Lytechinus pictus: one gene and its partner. Each later gene encodes a partner of the first gene's protein in a complex. Links are inferred from orthologs where the notes say so. Each region holds a gene or a part of one and is shown on either strand. Other genes may lie near its edges. The genes, in order: eukaryotic translation initiation factor 3 subunit D-like and eukaryotic translation initiation factor 3 subunit F-like.

Region 1 (7,766 bases):
TGATTAATGAAGTAATTTACTGAATAAAAATGAATGTTTGATTGATCACATTGCACATTGAATGAGTTGATTTACTGATAAATTGTTGATTAAATGATTGATAGGAAAAAGTTGATGCCCCAATTCAGAATTAATCATTAAATCAACATTCTGCTATGGACTTCACGTGTACATGACAATAGCCATTAGTCTCTCAACGGGAGGGTAGGGCGGGAAAGAGGGAGGGGGCGGAAGCTGAATGTTCTGTTGACCCTTATTCCATCAACCTACTTCTCCCACTTAAGTCCTATCTCACCCTTTACTCTCCCGACTCCCATGAACACATTGCTGAGATCCAAATGATAAAGTTGAAATGCTGCCAAAAAAGTGTAATTTGTGTTCACTCATGCATTAAAGTTCAATTCAATAATTTAAAACATTTGCTTAAGCAACCAAGACTGGTCACGGCTGATCATTAATTTATCACAACGCCCTTAACTTTGCAAGTTCGAAAGGATTTGCCTCTCAAAAACTGACATAAATTGGAAGGCTAATTCCAGCCCACCCTAATTTTCATACCCTTTGTTTCAGTGGGCAGTGCTCGCTCAAGCATGAATAGTTTTCCAACTTTTTGGTGTCATTTGAAAGTTGACTTTATTGGCTTTCCACATATGTAAGTCTTTTTCCCCAAAGTGCTACATTTTTTATTTGGCAGCCATTTCAAAAGTGTATAGTTTTTTTTGGGACGCACTGTATATTACGAAAATCTGATGTACCCTGATTATTTGCAAGTATTAAGAAGAGGAATTATGACCTCTCTTTTGACTCAAAAAGACCGATTTCCACATGAATTAATACACATAAAAACACATAGGCAAGTACATCACAGTCCCACGTGTGCATTTGTATGTATGTTGATACTTGGTTTTTTTTTAAGCTGTGTATTTTCTAGCCAAAAACAAACAAGACAGTTTCTTTCTTTCTTGTTTATAAATGACTTCTTAAACCACTCTTGAGAGAGTAAATACTTTGGGAAGGCAAGGCAATTCATTGATATGAAATGTGATTTTTTTTCCCAACATTTTGGCAAATATAGGGAAGGACTTTTCTCACACTTTTTTTCCAGATATAAATTTTGCCGTTTTCTTTTTTTTTTCCTTTCATTTTTTTTTGACAGTGGTTAAACCATTTATACCCCTTCCCATTGAATATGCCTGATTAAAAAATATGTTTCTACTGAAAATAAAATAATACAAACTAAAGGATATAAAAATGAAAATGTGCCATTCCCAAAAAGTAAGTGAAAATTATTTGCTTGGCTTTTAATTATATTCCAGTCAGAATAGACTGTTGCCACAGCTGTTAAAAAATATATGTAATGGCTTCTTAATTTTCCACTTTTCCCCATTTTTTTATTAACTGTTTTATTAATTTTTCTTTCATTTTCTTTCCTTTTTTCTCTCTAATTTTTTTCTTTTCTTTTTTCCCCTTCATTTTCTTTCTTTTGTTTTATTTCACTAATTTCTTTTATTATTTTTGTTTTCTTTTTGTAATATACTTTTTGAAAATTATTTTCGTTTGTTTCTCCCTTTTATGCATTGTTCTAAATTTGCAGCATATTTTTCTGTGATTTTCTCCTTCTATAATATGCTGCAAAAGAGAAAACAGAAATAAACTGGATTTGGGGCATGCATAATCTAGGTTTTAGGATTCAAAGAGGAAGGAAGGAAAAACCATTGATTTGTACATCTAACTGAATTTGCTATGCACTATTTATTTACTTTACCATTAGCTCTATACAGAGATTTAAAAAAAAAGTCCACACAACCTGCGAACAATACAATTCATTTATTCTCTTTCAATCATTTCATTTATACAACGATAGAAACATTTATAAATTAGCAAAGTAAAATAACAGCAAACAAGGTTTACATACAAGATGTATAAAGTAAAAGTAACATATAGTGGTAGTGGCTGCAGAATTAATATTTCAGAAGTTTGTTTTATTCATTTTTAATGTTTTTCTTTATATTTTTCGGGCCACCAAACTTTAATATCGGGCCACCAAAAAAAATTATTTGATGGTTTTGGTGGCCCGAACGGGCCACCACCAAAAAAAGTTAATGTGGAGCCTTGAAGTATATGTCAAATTTTTTTAAAAAGACATCATCATGGGGCCTGTTGCATGAAAGGGTCTTTCGTAGAACCATTCTACGTAAGAACGAGATATCGCTCAACTGTTTCACAAAGCCGATTTGGGCGATACGAAGAATGGTCCTTGGAAAGACACCTCCAGACATGTCCTACGTAGGCATGATCTTCTTTGGACACCACCCACCTATTGTTCTTCCCCAACGTTACCCGACGCATGCGTCTGTAACGTTGGCGAAGAACAATAGGAAACAAGATGGCGGCGAAAACATCGGGCAAGTCTCTTCCGTCTTTACACAACATTTCTCTCATTTTTTTGATGAATTCTTGTTCAAAAATAACAACGAGAGCGTAGAAATGTCGGAAATGAAGTTTTATCCCATGTACATGATTTAGGGCTAGATCTTTTAGAAAGAAAGTAGAAATTTCGGGGGCGAAAGTTTCAGGTTTTTTGGTGGTACACGCAAAAGTATATGACGGAAGCCCTGGCTTCGTACTATGAGAGTGACCTTACGTTAGTAAATGATTTTTACTCTCTAGAAGCCGCCTGGCTACCTAGGACTCCTAGGAGTAGGAGTAGTAGTACTAGTAGGACGTTCCTACGTATCGCTCATCTCGTCGTCATGGTCGTGCAACAGGCCAATGGAGTCCTCGACTTCTCAAGACTACTCATAGTCATAGTCATACACGCATCATCGACGACGTACATTCGGTAGTCGGCCCCTACCGTACCGTACCATACCGTACACATTCTACACAACATATGGGAAACTGGTAGTGGTACGCCTATGCAATAATGCATGAATGAATAGAGAGGCATTCCACTGGCACTACTATCATGTACTAGTAATTACCTTTCCGAGGCGATCTCCCTTTGAAAATGGTTGGTATGGAATATCTTTGAATTGCTTTGGAATCGTACAAGGACCCCATCCTGTTGGATTATCCTGTATCTCTGGAGGAATGAATCGGGCGCTCATTTTTATGATATTTCGGTGAGAGTCCTTCTTTTTTCCCGGTCGCCGCACACATGCACATGCAGCCAAATATCACACTAAAGTGACCCGATCATGAGATGGCGCTATTAAACCCCAGTGCCACAGAGATACGATCTTACGTATACGTAAGCTCCCGTAAGCTCCTGTACACAGCCAACATGGCTGCCGGTGGACAATTTGAAGGTTGATTTTGGAGGGTCAATGTTTTATTCATGAGAATGACGTCAAAATACGCATAATGCACTTGTATGATTGGATTAAACGCTAATGTTTTATTCATGTACTCATGCATTAAACATTTTTTTCCGTCCCACAATTCCCTACGATATCTGTGCGAAGTGTCGTTCTTTTGGACTCTGCGAATTTGAAGTTTCTGAAACGAAATAGCTAGACTAATTATCTGTTTATAGAATTGATGTTCGAAATCATGGTTTCTGAGTGAACTTCATTGGAGCGGAAAATCTTGGAGGGAACATCAATACTATTCTAATGACATTCCATAGGAATAAAAGTAAGTTACGCTCATTTTCATGTTTTGATCTCACTTGCAAATTGTAATGTGTTTGCCGGGGTTCGGGGCTCATCCTGTATTACGCACTATGTAAACCTCAATTTCAATATTTCTTTTGCCTGACTTCCAAATAAGTGTGATCATTGAGTTTCTCAAAAATACTATATCTAGGGAGTAGGGGTCTATAGTTTGTCGTAGATCTAGACATTCATCGGAATGCTTCATGTAGGTCCAAAGTAAACCTTTATTTCAGTTTTATTGTGATTAGACAATTATCAGGGGTAGATGTAACCCAGAGAGCTCCCGCCCGCGCAGCGGGCGGGAGCCCAGAAGCTTACCGTGTATTTTACCATTGTCACCGGACTAGGGTGATTTATGGTCTAAATATTTCTCCAAATGAATTGTGAAAACAGAAAGTATACAATTACCACGATTATATGGATGAAGGTCTAACGAGTGGCAGATTCCTGACATCTGGGCACAGTCTGGAACCTCAAAAAAACGAAAAGTTCTCTCCTTCTACCCCGTCTCGATCGGCCATTTTTGTTAAAAATCACTAACAAAATGGCCGATCGAGACTGGGTAGAAGGAGAAAACTTTTCGTTTTTTTGAGGTTCCAGACTGTGCCCAGATGTCAGGAATCTGCCACTCGTTAGACCTTCATCCATATAATCGTGGTAATTGTATACTTTCCGTTTTCACAATTCATTTGGAGAAATATTTAGACCATAAATCACCCTAGTCCGGTGACAATGGTAAAATACACGGTAAGCTTCTGGGCTCCCGCCCGCTGCGCGGGCGGGAGCTCTCTGGGTTAGGGTAGATGTGGACTTGTTTCCGACCTCCTGTTTTTTAGTAACGACAAAGGTCGACAAACTGTCGATTTTAGGCCTATTCAAATTTAGGTCAATGATATGTAGGGATATGGTCAGAGCGGGATCCGGCCTTTGATATCGCCGGTGCTAGCCGAGCGAGATTGTCGATGTAGTCATGGGGTATGAAAATAGCGGGGACGTATGGTGGCCCTGAAGGGACATCGCATATAGACCAAATCGCGAATATTCACGACGAAATTGGCGACGAAATTCACGACGTCGCCAATTTCGTCGTGAATTTCGTCGTCAATTTGAATATTCACGACGAAATTGGCGACGAAATTCACGACATCGTGAATTTCGTCGCCAATTTCGTCGCGAATTATTCACGACGAAATTCACGACGTCGCCAATTTCGTCGCCAATTTAAATATTGACGACGAAATTCACGACGAAATTCGCGACATCGTAAATTTCGTCGCGAATTATTCACGACGAAATTCACGACGTCGTGAATTTCGTCGCCAATTTCGTCGTGAATTTGTTTTGTTTGCCTGGGCGGTATGCGGGTTGAAACCAATTCGTCTGCTGCTAATTCCTCCACTGCAGGGTCGACCTACATTCATTTACTCTAATGCAATTCTGGCCATTAACTTTTCGCCTAACAACCATATGGTCCAATAACCATTTGGTCCAGTCATCACTTCGTCTATAATCACCAGTTCGTCTATGACCATTTCGTCTCACAACTAGTTGGTCTAATATCAATTTTATTTTCCTTAATTTCGCCCAATTAACACTTAGTTCAATTAGACAAAATGGCATATGGAATAAATGGCAATTGGACCAACTTGGTTATTAGACAAACTTGGCAGTTAGACCATGTGGATAGTGGACGAACTGATGGTAGACCAAATGAAAGCTGACGAGTTGGCATTAGACCAATTGAATAAAAAAACATTGAAACGACAGAACGATGTCCACTGCTATCCATATGCATAGGCGGATCCAGGGGGAGGGGGCCGAGGGGCCCGTCCCGTCCCCCCCCCCTATTGGCGGAGCAAAGAAAGGAAATAAGGAAAGAAAGCAAAAAAGGAGGGAAAAGAGAGTAGAAAAAAGAAGAGGAGGAGACGAGTGAATAAAGTAAGATGAGGGGAAGACATGGAAATAAAAAGAATATTTCATGTCACTTCATAAAAATTTCGCTCGTGCTTCGCGCTCACATTGCCTGTTAGGTGATTTTCATAATCTTGTTCAATATGGAGTTTAGATATCAAGTTTGGAAGTCAATATACAAAACATATTTCATCTCGAAAATCAAACTTTTATTATTTTGCGTGATTTACAAATTGATTTTTAAAAAGTGCTCTGTAAATATGACAGTTTTATGGTCTGAATATTAACATTTCCCGCTCGCGCTGCGCGCCCGCAAATTTCGATTTATCAGGTACCTATTATTTTCGTGTATTCCATAAAGTTTTCAAAATATCCCTTTTCAGGTCTGATTGTCAAAACGTATCAGCCAGCGCTACACGCCCGCATTTTGATCGTATGTCTCAATATTGATTATACAATCCCCTTTTCTTGACAATGCACAGATTTAGGCTCGCAATTTGCGCTCGCATTAATTGTTAAAATATATTAACTGATGCATCCTATTTATAATTACAAATGCATGAAATGTCCAGTTTTCAGGCCATCGACTTCACGCCCTCATTAAGCATTAATGAATAAGATATTAATTTAATAATTGAATTGTCCCTTTTGTTTCATCTTGCGCTTAGCAAGAGGAATAGGAAGACATTCATCATTTTTATATGATGAGATGTCCTATATGTCCTAAGGATGTACCGGTCCTATGTCAAAACTCAAAGAATTATAATGAAAAAAATCAGCTCTGTGTGATCCATATCCACTTTACAATTTTCTTACAAAGTGCTTGAAATATAGAATATCAAATAGTTTAAGCTCGCGCTTCGTGCTCGCTTTGATTTTCATGATAAAAGATGTATTTAGAATGCCTAGATTCTAGGTCTAAATATGAAACACGCGCGCGCATGTTTATTCAGATATTCAACTTGTTCTCTATTTAAATCATTATCCAGTTTCAGATCACAATATAAACAATTTTCTGCTCGCACTTTGTGCTTGCATCATTAATGTAGGAATTACTCATTCTTTTCCAAATTTACAAAACATGAATAGAGTGTCCCGTGTTAAGGTCTAATCTCGATTTTTTTCCACTCGCGCTTCGCACTCGCATCAATTGTTTAGTTATATAGCTATCCTGTTCACGATTACAAAAATTGATTAAAATGTTCCATTCTTTATGTAGAAATGTCAAAATTTTTCAGCTCGCGTTTCGCGCTCGCATCAATTGTTTATTATATACCTATTCTGTTTAAGTTACAAAAAGTCCTTAGAATTTCCATTTTTAAGTAAAAATTTCAAAAAATTCAGCTCGTGCATCGCGCTCGCATTATTTGATTTTTAAAATATATAACGTCTTCATGACTAACTGCATGCTGTCTTTAACAGGTACCTATTCCACCAGTTCATTTCTGCTCGCGCTTCGCGTTTGTAGTAATTATTTATTTGCATACACATCTTTTTTAGGAAAACAAACATTGCCCAGAATGTTCAAATTATAGGAAAAAATACATAAGATTTCCAAAAAAAAATTAGCTCGCGCTTCGCGCTCACATTATATAAATAAGGATTATGATATTATATATTTATATTGATTTATAAGAATAAAGCTAAGAAGACCACCCCTTCACAGAAACCAAAAATCATCTTCGAGCGGCCGATCGGGGAAAATATGGCTGAAAAATAATTCCGCCCCCCCCCCCCTATTGGCGAAGGCTGGATCCGCCCCTGGAACACCTAACAGGCAATGCGAAGTGATGACTGGATCAAATGGTTATTGGACCATATGGTTGTTAGGCGAAAGGTTAATGGACAGAATTGCATTATACTAAATGAATGTAGATCGACCCTGCAGTGCAGGAATTAGCAGCAGACGAATTGGTTTCTCAAACCGCATACCGCCCAGGCAAGCAAAACAAATTCACGACGAAATTGGCGACGAAATTCACGACGTCGTGAATTTCGTCGTGAATAATTCGCGACGAAATTTACGATGTCGCGAATTTCGTCGTGAATTTCGTCGTCAATATTTAAATTGGCGACGAAATAGGCGACGTCGTGAATTTCGTCGTGAATAATTCGCGACGAAATTGGCGACGAAATTCACGATGTCGTGAATTTCGTCGCCAATTTCGTCGTGAATATTCAAATTGACGACGAAAT
Region 2 (8,187 bases), on another chromosome or scaffold:
TCTAGATCCACGATGATATAGTCATACTTCACCTTGGTTTTACAGACTTTCTCACGAAATTAGTGTTTTACTGCAACTACTGTAATTTAGCTTTAACTCATAGCATAGTGAATCTCCCATCCCATTATACCCTGTAATCCAACAATCAGAAAGTCAGATATTATTGTGAATTTTGATTTTTCTTTTCCATTAGATTGGTATCTTTCAAAAAAGAAACAGGAATGCCTAGAAGCACAGTAAACACATTTTTTATTTCTTGAAAAATATTGCAGTATGGATGCTTTAGTGTAAAAAATACAAGGAAATTATTCATCATTCTTAATAAACATATATATACGACTGAATGAACATATCAAAACGTTGCATCGTAGATAATGATGTAGGGTCAATACGAGGTACTATAGGTATCAAGATGGTGCATTTCCGAGCAGCTTTAACTCACCTCATCTTCTGATTCATTGTGAGGCACACAGAAACAATTTGTGACTTCAACAACTCCTTGAATACTCGTACCTACATTAAAAAAAAAAACAGAGGCCACAATAAGGAATTATGTTAATTGAATCATAAGTAGATCAATGATGAATTCTGCAAATTACAATCTGATAAACCTACATTTTACACTAAAATAAATTGATCTCTTTGTATATAGACACAGTGAATTATTTGAATTATTTGAAAATGACCCCCCCACCTCCTCATATGTATTTTTTTGTGTTTTTAAATTTAAAAATTTCATCATTTATTTGGGTATTATTAAAGGAGAATGAAACCCTTGAAACCAGCTGAATCCATATCAAAGAGAAAAATCCAAGAAACATATCGTTGAAAGTTTGAGGAAGATTGAATGAATAATAAGAAAGTTATGAGCATTTGAATATTGAGATCACTAATGCCATGTAGATCCTCCCATTGGCAATGCGACCAAGATCTGTGATGTCACACACGTACAACTCCCTCATTACTTTAGTACTTATTTCACTTATATTCTCACTTTTATAGAGTCTATCACAAGGTGAGGTGTTCTCTTTATGAGAGGACAAGTCAGAGGTTTCACAACATTATATCATTGATGAATCGTTTGTCATATGATTAGAATGAGCAAAAAGAGATGTTTTGGGGTATATTTTCAGTGTCCAAAAGGGGAGAGTTGTTCATCTGTGACATCATAGATCTTGGTCGCATTGCCAATGGGAGGATCTCCATAGCATTAGTGATCTCGACATTCAAATGCTCAGAACTCTTCTATTGCTAGTCCTATTTTACTCAAACTTTTGTTGATCTTATTCTTTGATTTTTTTGCTTTCACAAAAGCTAACTTGCTCCAAGAGTTTCATTCTCCTTTAATCTTGGAATATGGATAATGTACATTAATTACATTTTTTTGAGAACATGACATGTAACATTATATAAACATTGACTGCTTTAGTAGGATGACTGTGTAAATTGTCATTCCCAAGGTGCTTTTCATACCAGCCCTTCTATCACCCCACTGAGGCACTTTGGAGAGAGATGAGTTCCACCGTCATCCGAATACAGAGCAGTCCATATATACCTCATTCTCGAGGTCGGCATGACGTCACAGTCACGTGATTTCCCTAACAACAAAGGGCAAAGGTGCAAACAAAGGGTGCGAGCGTACGTGTTGGCTGTGCAGTTTCCTTGAAGTTTTTTGGAAGTCGTTGATTTGAACTGTTATATTATATTTTCATCGCGTTTTGTACTGCATTTTGATTTTAATTGCTGGACAATGGTGAAAATATGTTGTGTGTACGGGTGTTCCAAGAACAAGGCAAGATGGCCAGCTTTATCCGAAGTTTTAACGTACATCACTACATGCGCAGTGAGTCGCCATGTGCAATTTTTTTACTGTTGCGCCACTCACCTGTCACTGCATGACCAAAATGGTTCTAGAAATCATTTGCAATGTTGAAAAGTGTCTTGTGGCATCTGATATTAATCCTCAGTAATTCCCTGAAATGCTGCAACATTTGGTTAAAAGATCCAGCAAAAGAAAAAGGAGTTTAGCGCAGTCAAATTCGGACTTGCAAGCTTGGTCCGTACGGTGCGAATTTTAGCTGCCATTTTTCTCGGGCGACGATTTGAGACGCCCACATTAAGCAATCGATGTTTCAAAGCTGCCTGCTCAAGTTACCAATATTTGGTATCAAAATATAGATTATAAAAAAATGCTCACGATCATTTCATTTTGAAAGTGGGGGTGACAATTGTTATCAAAATAAGAGGGGTGGCATCTCAACGTATATCTCAACCCAGCTGAGTCAATGGACTTTTGTTTGCGCGCCCCGATTGTTCCGGCTTTGTTTGCACCCTCGCGATCGGTTGCTATGATTGTTCCGGCTTTGTTTGCACCCTCGCGATCGGTTGCTATGCAGAAGTTACTTTTGCGAGTGAAAATCCCCGGATGTCCGACCTCGAGAATAAGTTTACCCAAGGGTTACTGGTATCAATACAATAGGACCACTAGATCTAGTGTAACTGAATTAATTTGCTAAATCACACTCAGATGAGTCGAGCACCAACATTAACAATCCAACACCAACACAGCTAATTTTAGATTTTTACAGTAAATACACGCGCATCTATGGGAATCGTGAGCTGTAGGAAAAGTGCAGAAAATTACACTTTTTTATACAAATTTCTGTGAAAAAAAAGTTATAGAAAGTGAAGAATATTACAATCAGACCATTTCCCTAGAAAACTGTTAGTGTTACAAGAAATTTCGAAATTTAATTTATTTTTTTATGACAAAAAATAAGACACAATTTGGTGAAGAAAAAAATCACGAAACAGGAAGGACAACACTCAACAGTCAACACGACAACAGAGTCAGGCTCAGCCGGCAGCCCTTCGTCACCCCCCCCCCCCCCCCCTTGGTGTACAGATAGGGGCTCTTCTTCACGAGTCCCCCTCGTCCACTGGCCACTGTCACTGACACAAGCCTCGGGCTCGGGCCAGGACTCAGGAGCTGCAGATGCCAGAGCCCAAAATCACGTGTGGTACACAGCGCTGGAATATCATTCATTTCAATGTACAGAATCTCCATCAAGGCATTATTTTATTTTGCTGAAGTTATTATCCTTGAATACTTACCAAGTAAAGTTCCGATTACACGTGCTGATTCATCTGTCCGCCTCTCGAAAGAGTCAACAATGCTGAATAAAACTACCGGATGGATATTCACGACTTTTGCTGAGGCCGCCATTTTGAATGCTGCCATCATTGGTTGGAGAAGGGCCAGGCTAAATAAATGTTTCTCGATCAGTCGATGGGGATGAGGGGGGGGGGGGGTGAGTGGAGCTATTTTGAGTTGGAAACAGCTGAAGAAAATGCCAAAATAGGCCCCGGTGGCCTGAAAATTATTTCCATCGGGCCAATAGCTTTAAGAATGTATCTCCAGTTGAAATTCTTACCAGCGTTTCTACATCGATCATGACTGTGTTTGCTATTATAAAAAAAAAATATATTGAAAAAGATCATCAAGTTATTTCATTAAAAAAATTGATGGGGTACAGGGGGCGCAACCAAAGCCCCCCCCCCTTCCTCCTACAGGCCTACGCAAGTGAGAATAGTTCCTCCTCTATCATGAAACAATTCCCGTGGGATGGGGGGGGGGGGTCTTGCGTGTATATCGCATACGCGGGGATGTGCCGCTCCATTTGGGTCATTTTTTGCAAAAAATAAAATAAAATAAAAATAAAACCCTTGACATGGGTCTTGCTATTGCAAGAAATCCTTAGTCATGGGTTCCTTTTTTTTCTACTGAATAATCCTTAGATATATGGGTCCGTTTCTGGAGGAAAAAAAGTAACAATATAAGAATCCCCAGGAAAGCCCCCGAAAATGTCTATGTCCCGTTTGAGAGTATATAGTCTGCAGGCACAGACCCTGATTGAAACTTTGATCAACAAGTGTGTCTCCACGCAAAGACTAGCACATACAAAGCTTTGCTGTTTCAATTCAGGAGCGACTCAGAGGGCCTTCAGTACATACATGGGTACATGGGCGGAAATCTCTCCTTGAAGGTAGGGGGGACACAATTGAGTTTTCCGTTTTTATGTTCTCCAGAATAACTAACTCAAACATATATATATCCTTAGATGTGACGGGAGATGCCGATGATTGTGCAAAGTGCTCAATGCTATATAAAGCAGAGCATATATTCATATTGAACGTCTGCTAACGGCGGTTTCGAGACCAAACCGGAAACCACCGAAGCGTCAAATTGACCCGCCGCACCACACAAAATAGTCAATAACGTCAGTCTGCCTGAAGATGTCCTCAAGTCTGGGCGTGAAACCGCCGGTAGCAGACGTTTAATAGGTATGAATATGTATACATATAGGCCTATATATATACATATTTCGAAGAGGGGAGGTATTCCTAACTAAAGATGAAAGGCCTCAATAAATAATGCGAGCGCGAAGCGCGAGCTGAAAGTTTTTTATTTTCCAACCTAAAAACTAGACATTCGTAACACTTTTTCAAATAAATCATGAACAGAATAGGAATTCAACTAAATAATAGATGCGAGCGCGAGCTGACAGTTTTTGATTTTCCAACCTAAAAAGTGGACATTCTAAGCACTTAAAGGTCAAGTCCACCCCAGGAAAATGCTGACTTGAATAAATAGAGAAAACTCAAACTAGCATAGTTCTGAAAATTTCATCAAAATCGGATGTTAAATAAGAAAGTTATGACATTTTTAAGTTTCGCTTATTTTTCACAAAACATAATGCACAATTAGGTGCATGAATCAGTCGATGATGTCCATCACTCACTATTTCTTTTGTTTTTTATTGTTTGAATTATACAATATTTTATTTTTTACAGATTTGACAATAAGGACCAACTTGACTGAACCATATAGTATTAAACAAAGCTAATTCCACATGTTCAGAGAGGAATTAATTGTTGTATCACTTGACAATGAGGAAAATATAAGAATATTTCATATTTCATATAATAAAATACAAAAGAAATAGTGAGTGGATGACGTCATAGTCTCCTCATTTGCATACCAGCCACAATGTGCATATAACTGTTTTGTGAAATTTAGCGAAACTTTAAAATGTCATAACTTTCTTATTTTACATCCGATTTTGATGAAATTTTTTGTGTTATGCTTGTTGGATTTTTCTCTTTTTATTCAAATCAACTTTTTGTTGGGGTGGACTTGTCCTTTAATAATGAACGGAATAGGAATCTAAACAATGAATGCGAGTGCGAAGCGGGAGCTGAATGTTTTTTATTTTCCAACCTAAATAATGGACATTCTTAGTACTTAAAAAAAAAATTATGAACAGGATAGGAATCTAAACAATTAATGCGGGCGCGAAGCGCAGGCTGAAAGTTTGTATCTTCTAACCTAAAAACTGGACAATCGTAACACTTTTTCAAATCATGAACAGGATAGGAATTTTACTAATCAATATTAGATTCGAGCGCGAAGTGTGTACTGAAGATATGTCATTTCCGGCCTAAAAATTGGTATTATTAGCCTATTTTAAAATCAAGGACAGGGTAGCTATTTAATTAAATTTTTATTAATGTGAGCGCGAAGCGTATCTTTATTTTTTTCCGACCAAAAAGTCATCTTCTTTTAACCTTATAGCAATATAAAAACAGGATAGCATCTGACGCAACCATATTACTGATGCGAGCGCGAAATTATTATTTTTTAATATACAGATCTGAAAACTGGATCTTTCAAGCACTTTTGAAATAAATAACAAGCAGTATATCTCATAAAGCAATGCGAGCGCAAGCTAATAAAGTTACTGGGCGGTGCCGAAGCTTAATTACCGGGCGGTGCCCGCTCAGCGTTATTAAAGACATTTTTATTTTTTACCTATTTTCCACAAAAAAATAAAAGATGAAGGGGAAAACCTTTAATTGACAATAATTTTATTTTTTGCTCTCGAGAGGGGGCGGGGGCACAATTAGTCAAATATCGGATGTACCCCTACCTAGGTCTGCCACCATGGACTGAAATCGGTGGCGTCGTGAGCCGAAAATTTTTATGGTGCCAGATTTGGTGTATATCAGGCAAAGTTCATAGAAAGCTACAAGTGAGCGAAGCGAGCGAGAATAAATTTCTACTTTTTAAATACAAAAATCAAGTTTTGTGATAGATTTAGATGTCACATTGAGGAAATAATATTATATTTTACTCTTAATTCTCTCTTTCCTTTTTTTTTCGGGGGGGGGGGGGATCCCCAAGCCCCCGCATCGATCTGTACGCCACTCCCTAAAACAATAATAATCATGATGATGATGATAATAATAATAACAATACTAATGAAAATAATAATAAATATAATAATGATGATACTAAATATTTTAATGGTAATATTTCATTTAAAAAATAATGATGAATTTTTATAATTGAATAGAGCATACAATACTCAAGTTGTGTAAAATTAAATGGAATGGCGGTCAAAAGGGGTTGGAGGTGAATGGAGTGAGAGACCAGTTTCTCTTTGAAGGGGGGGGGGGGCTCGACAAAATATAACAGCTTAATTGAGCCCCCGGATTGAGCCCCCACCCATAGTGGGACGCCCCTAACCCCCCCCCCCCCCCCCCCGATCACTTTTCAAACCAGGATTCTCTACTGGCCAATGAATTGTTTTTAAAAGGCATCTTATGTAGACCTAGATTCATTCCCTAAAATGCAAGGTTGATAAAATAAATGCTAAAAATTCTGAGACTGCCCCGGGAGACTGCATGTCTCCGACTCCGAGCAACTTCATCACACCACACTCAGTTAAGGAATCTATCTCTTATGTAGGGAATATTCTTTGTAGCTTTTTCCGTATCATTATGCATTATGATAATGCAAAATAAACGCCGCAATGATCACGCACGTGCGGGAATAGTTCGTACCGCACAACTTATGGCGTTTCACTTCGTAATCCAAGATGGCAGCGAGTAGCAGGCCAGGGAGCGATGTTGGATGGACAAAATGGCAAATTGCGATAGCAGTCGGAGCCCCAATAGCAGTGGCAGGACTTGCATTTGGAGCCTACTATCTTACTCGAAGTGGGAGTCCAGAGGAAAGCTCGGATACTAAGTCAGGTACTGCAGGAACTTCTGGAAATACCAAAGCCAATGGCGAAGGGGATGCGGGAAAGAACAGCAGCGTGGAACACACACAGGTGAGTAGTGCGTGGAAAGACAATGATTAGGCGAAAGACAGGGTTTGGGCTCGGCGGCACGCCCGGCGAGCCTGCATTGCCGGCTCAGCCTCCGTCCGCGGAGCTTAACCGGTTAACATGGGCATTGCCATGGCATGGCATTGGTGATTGGATTTGGAGGTTACTCTCCTACTCTCTCTGTCCTAGTCATGGCTGGCCCTTGTTTCAATTGCACAGTGCAGAATATACGAGACTACTGCCTGGAAAACTATTTCTCGGGCCCGTGGCAGGGGCGGGGCTTTTGCAAAACCACAAAAATTCTGACGTTTCTACAATTTTTTTTTTCTTCAGGAACTAACTTTTAGAGAGACAAATTACATTGTGCCACCAGTCCACAGCTCATGCCTTATCAGTTTTGATATGACAATGGTTTATCAAGTGTGGTAAAATTAGGGATATTAATAATATATAAATCCTGTGAGGGAAAAAGGGTGGAAAGTGCGGTTAAAAGGGAACTTTAGAGATAATCACCAGACAAAAGTTGGTGTGAGACAACGGTGAAATGAATATCGAACTAAAAAGCAGGCCCAAACTTACTTGTAGGATGTTGTTGGTGTGAAGTATTTGCTGTAGATGGTTGCAGGTGTGATGTATAGTTGAAACTCGAAGGGTGAAAGGGCGAAGCAAAGGTTGATTTGTGTAGATGGCTCTAAACACAGACGTCCTCGTCTCGCACCGGTTGACTCTCAAGTGATCAAGATGGCTTCCACGCAGGCAAGGCCCCTTGCGAACGCACAGCCGTCCGTTCGCGATCTCCCCATTTAGGGACGTGCGCGTACCCATACCCTGTGGTCTTACTCTTAGGCACTTACGACCACACAAGTATGGACCAACATGATTCACTCTCTTTTAAACAATATAAGACACATAATATTGCTCGGGTATTGAGTAATATACACACTTGTTCAGGGAATAATTTTCCTGGTATCGCATCACAATTTGCTCCACATTTGTGAAAAACTGCTATGCA

The links.
Region 2: eukaryotic translation initiation factor 3 subunit D-like (region 1) and eukaryotic translation initiation factor 3 subunit F-like share a complex: the UniProt entries of both Drosophila melanogaster proteins name them as parts of the eukaryotic translation initiation factor 3 (eIF-3) complex. The link is inferred for Lytechinus pictus from reciprocal best matches to the Drosophila melanogaster genes eIF3d1 and eIF3f1.

What each region holds. Positions count from the first base shown.
Region 1 is NC_087254.1:36,520,277-36,528,042, forward strand, and holds the start of eukaryotic translation initiation factor 3 subunit D-like, read right to left. Parts: upstream 3,314-7,766; 5' UTR 3,111-3,313; coding exon 2,985-3,110; intron 1-2,984. UniProt on the Drosophila melanogaster protein: mRNA cap-binding component of the eukaryotic translation initiation factor 3 (eIF-3) complex, which is involved in protein synthesis of a specialized repertoire of mRNAs and, together with other initiation factors, stimulates binding of mRNA and methionyl-tRNAi to the 40S ribosome.
Region 2 is NC_087252.1:22,051,192-22,059,378, reverse strand, and holds the start of eukaryotic translation initiation factor 3 subunit F-like, read right to left. Parts: upstream 3,283-8,187; 5' UTR 3,245-3,282; coding exon 3,115-3,244; intron 514-3,114; coding exon 443-513; intron 1-442. Other genes in the region: mitochondrial import receptor subunit TOM70-like, read left to right, coding at 6,942-7,178. UniProt on the Drosophila melanogaster protein: Component of the eukaryotic translation initiation factor 3 (eIF-3) complex, which is involved in protein synthesis of a specialized repertoire of mRNAs and, together with other initiation factors, stimulates binding of mRNA and methionyl-tRNAi to the 40S ribosome.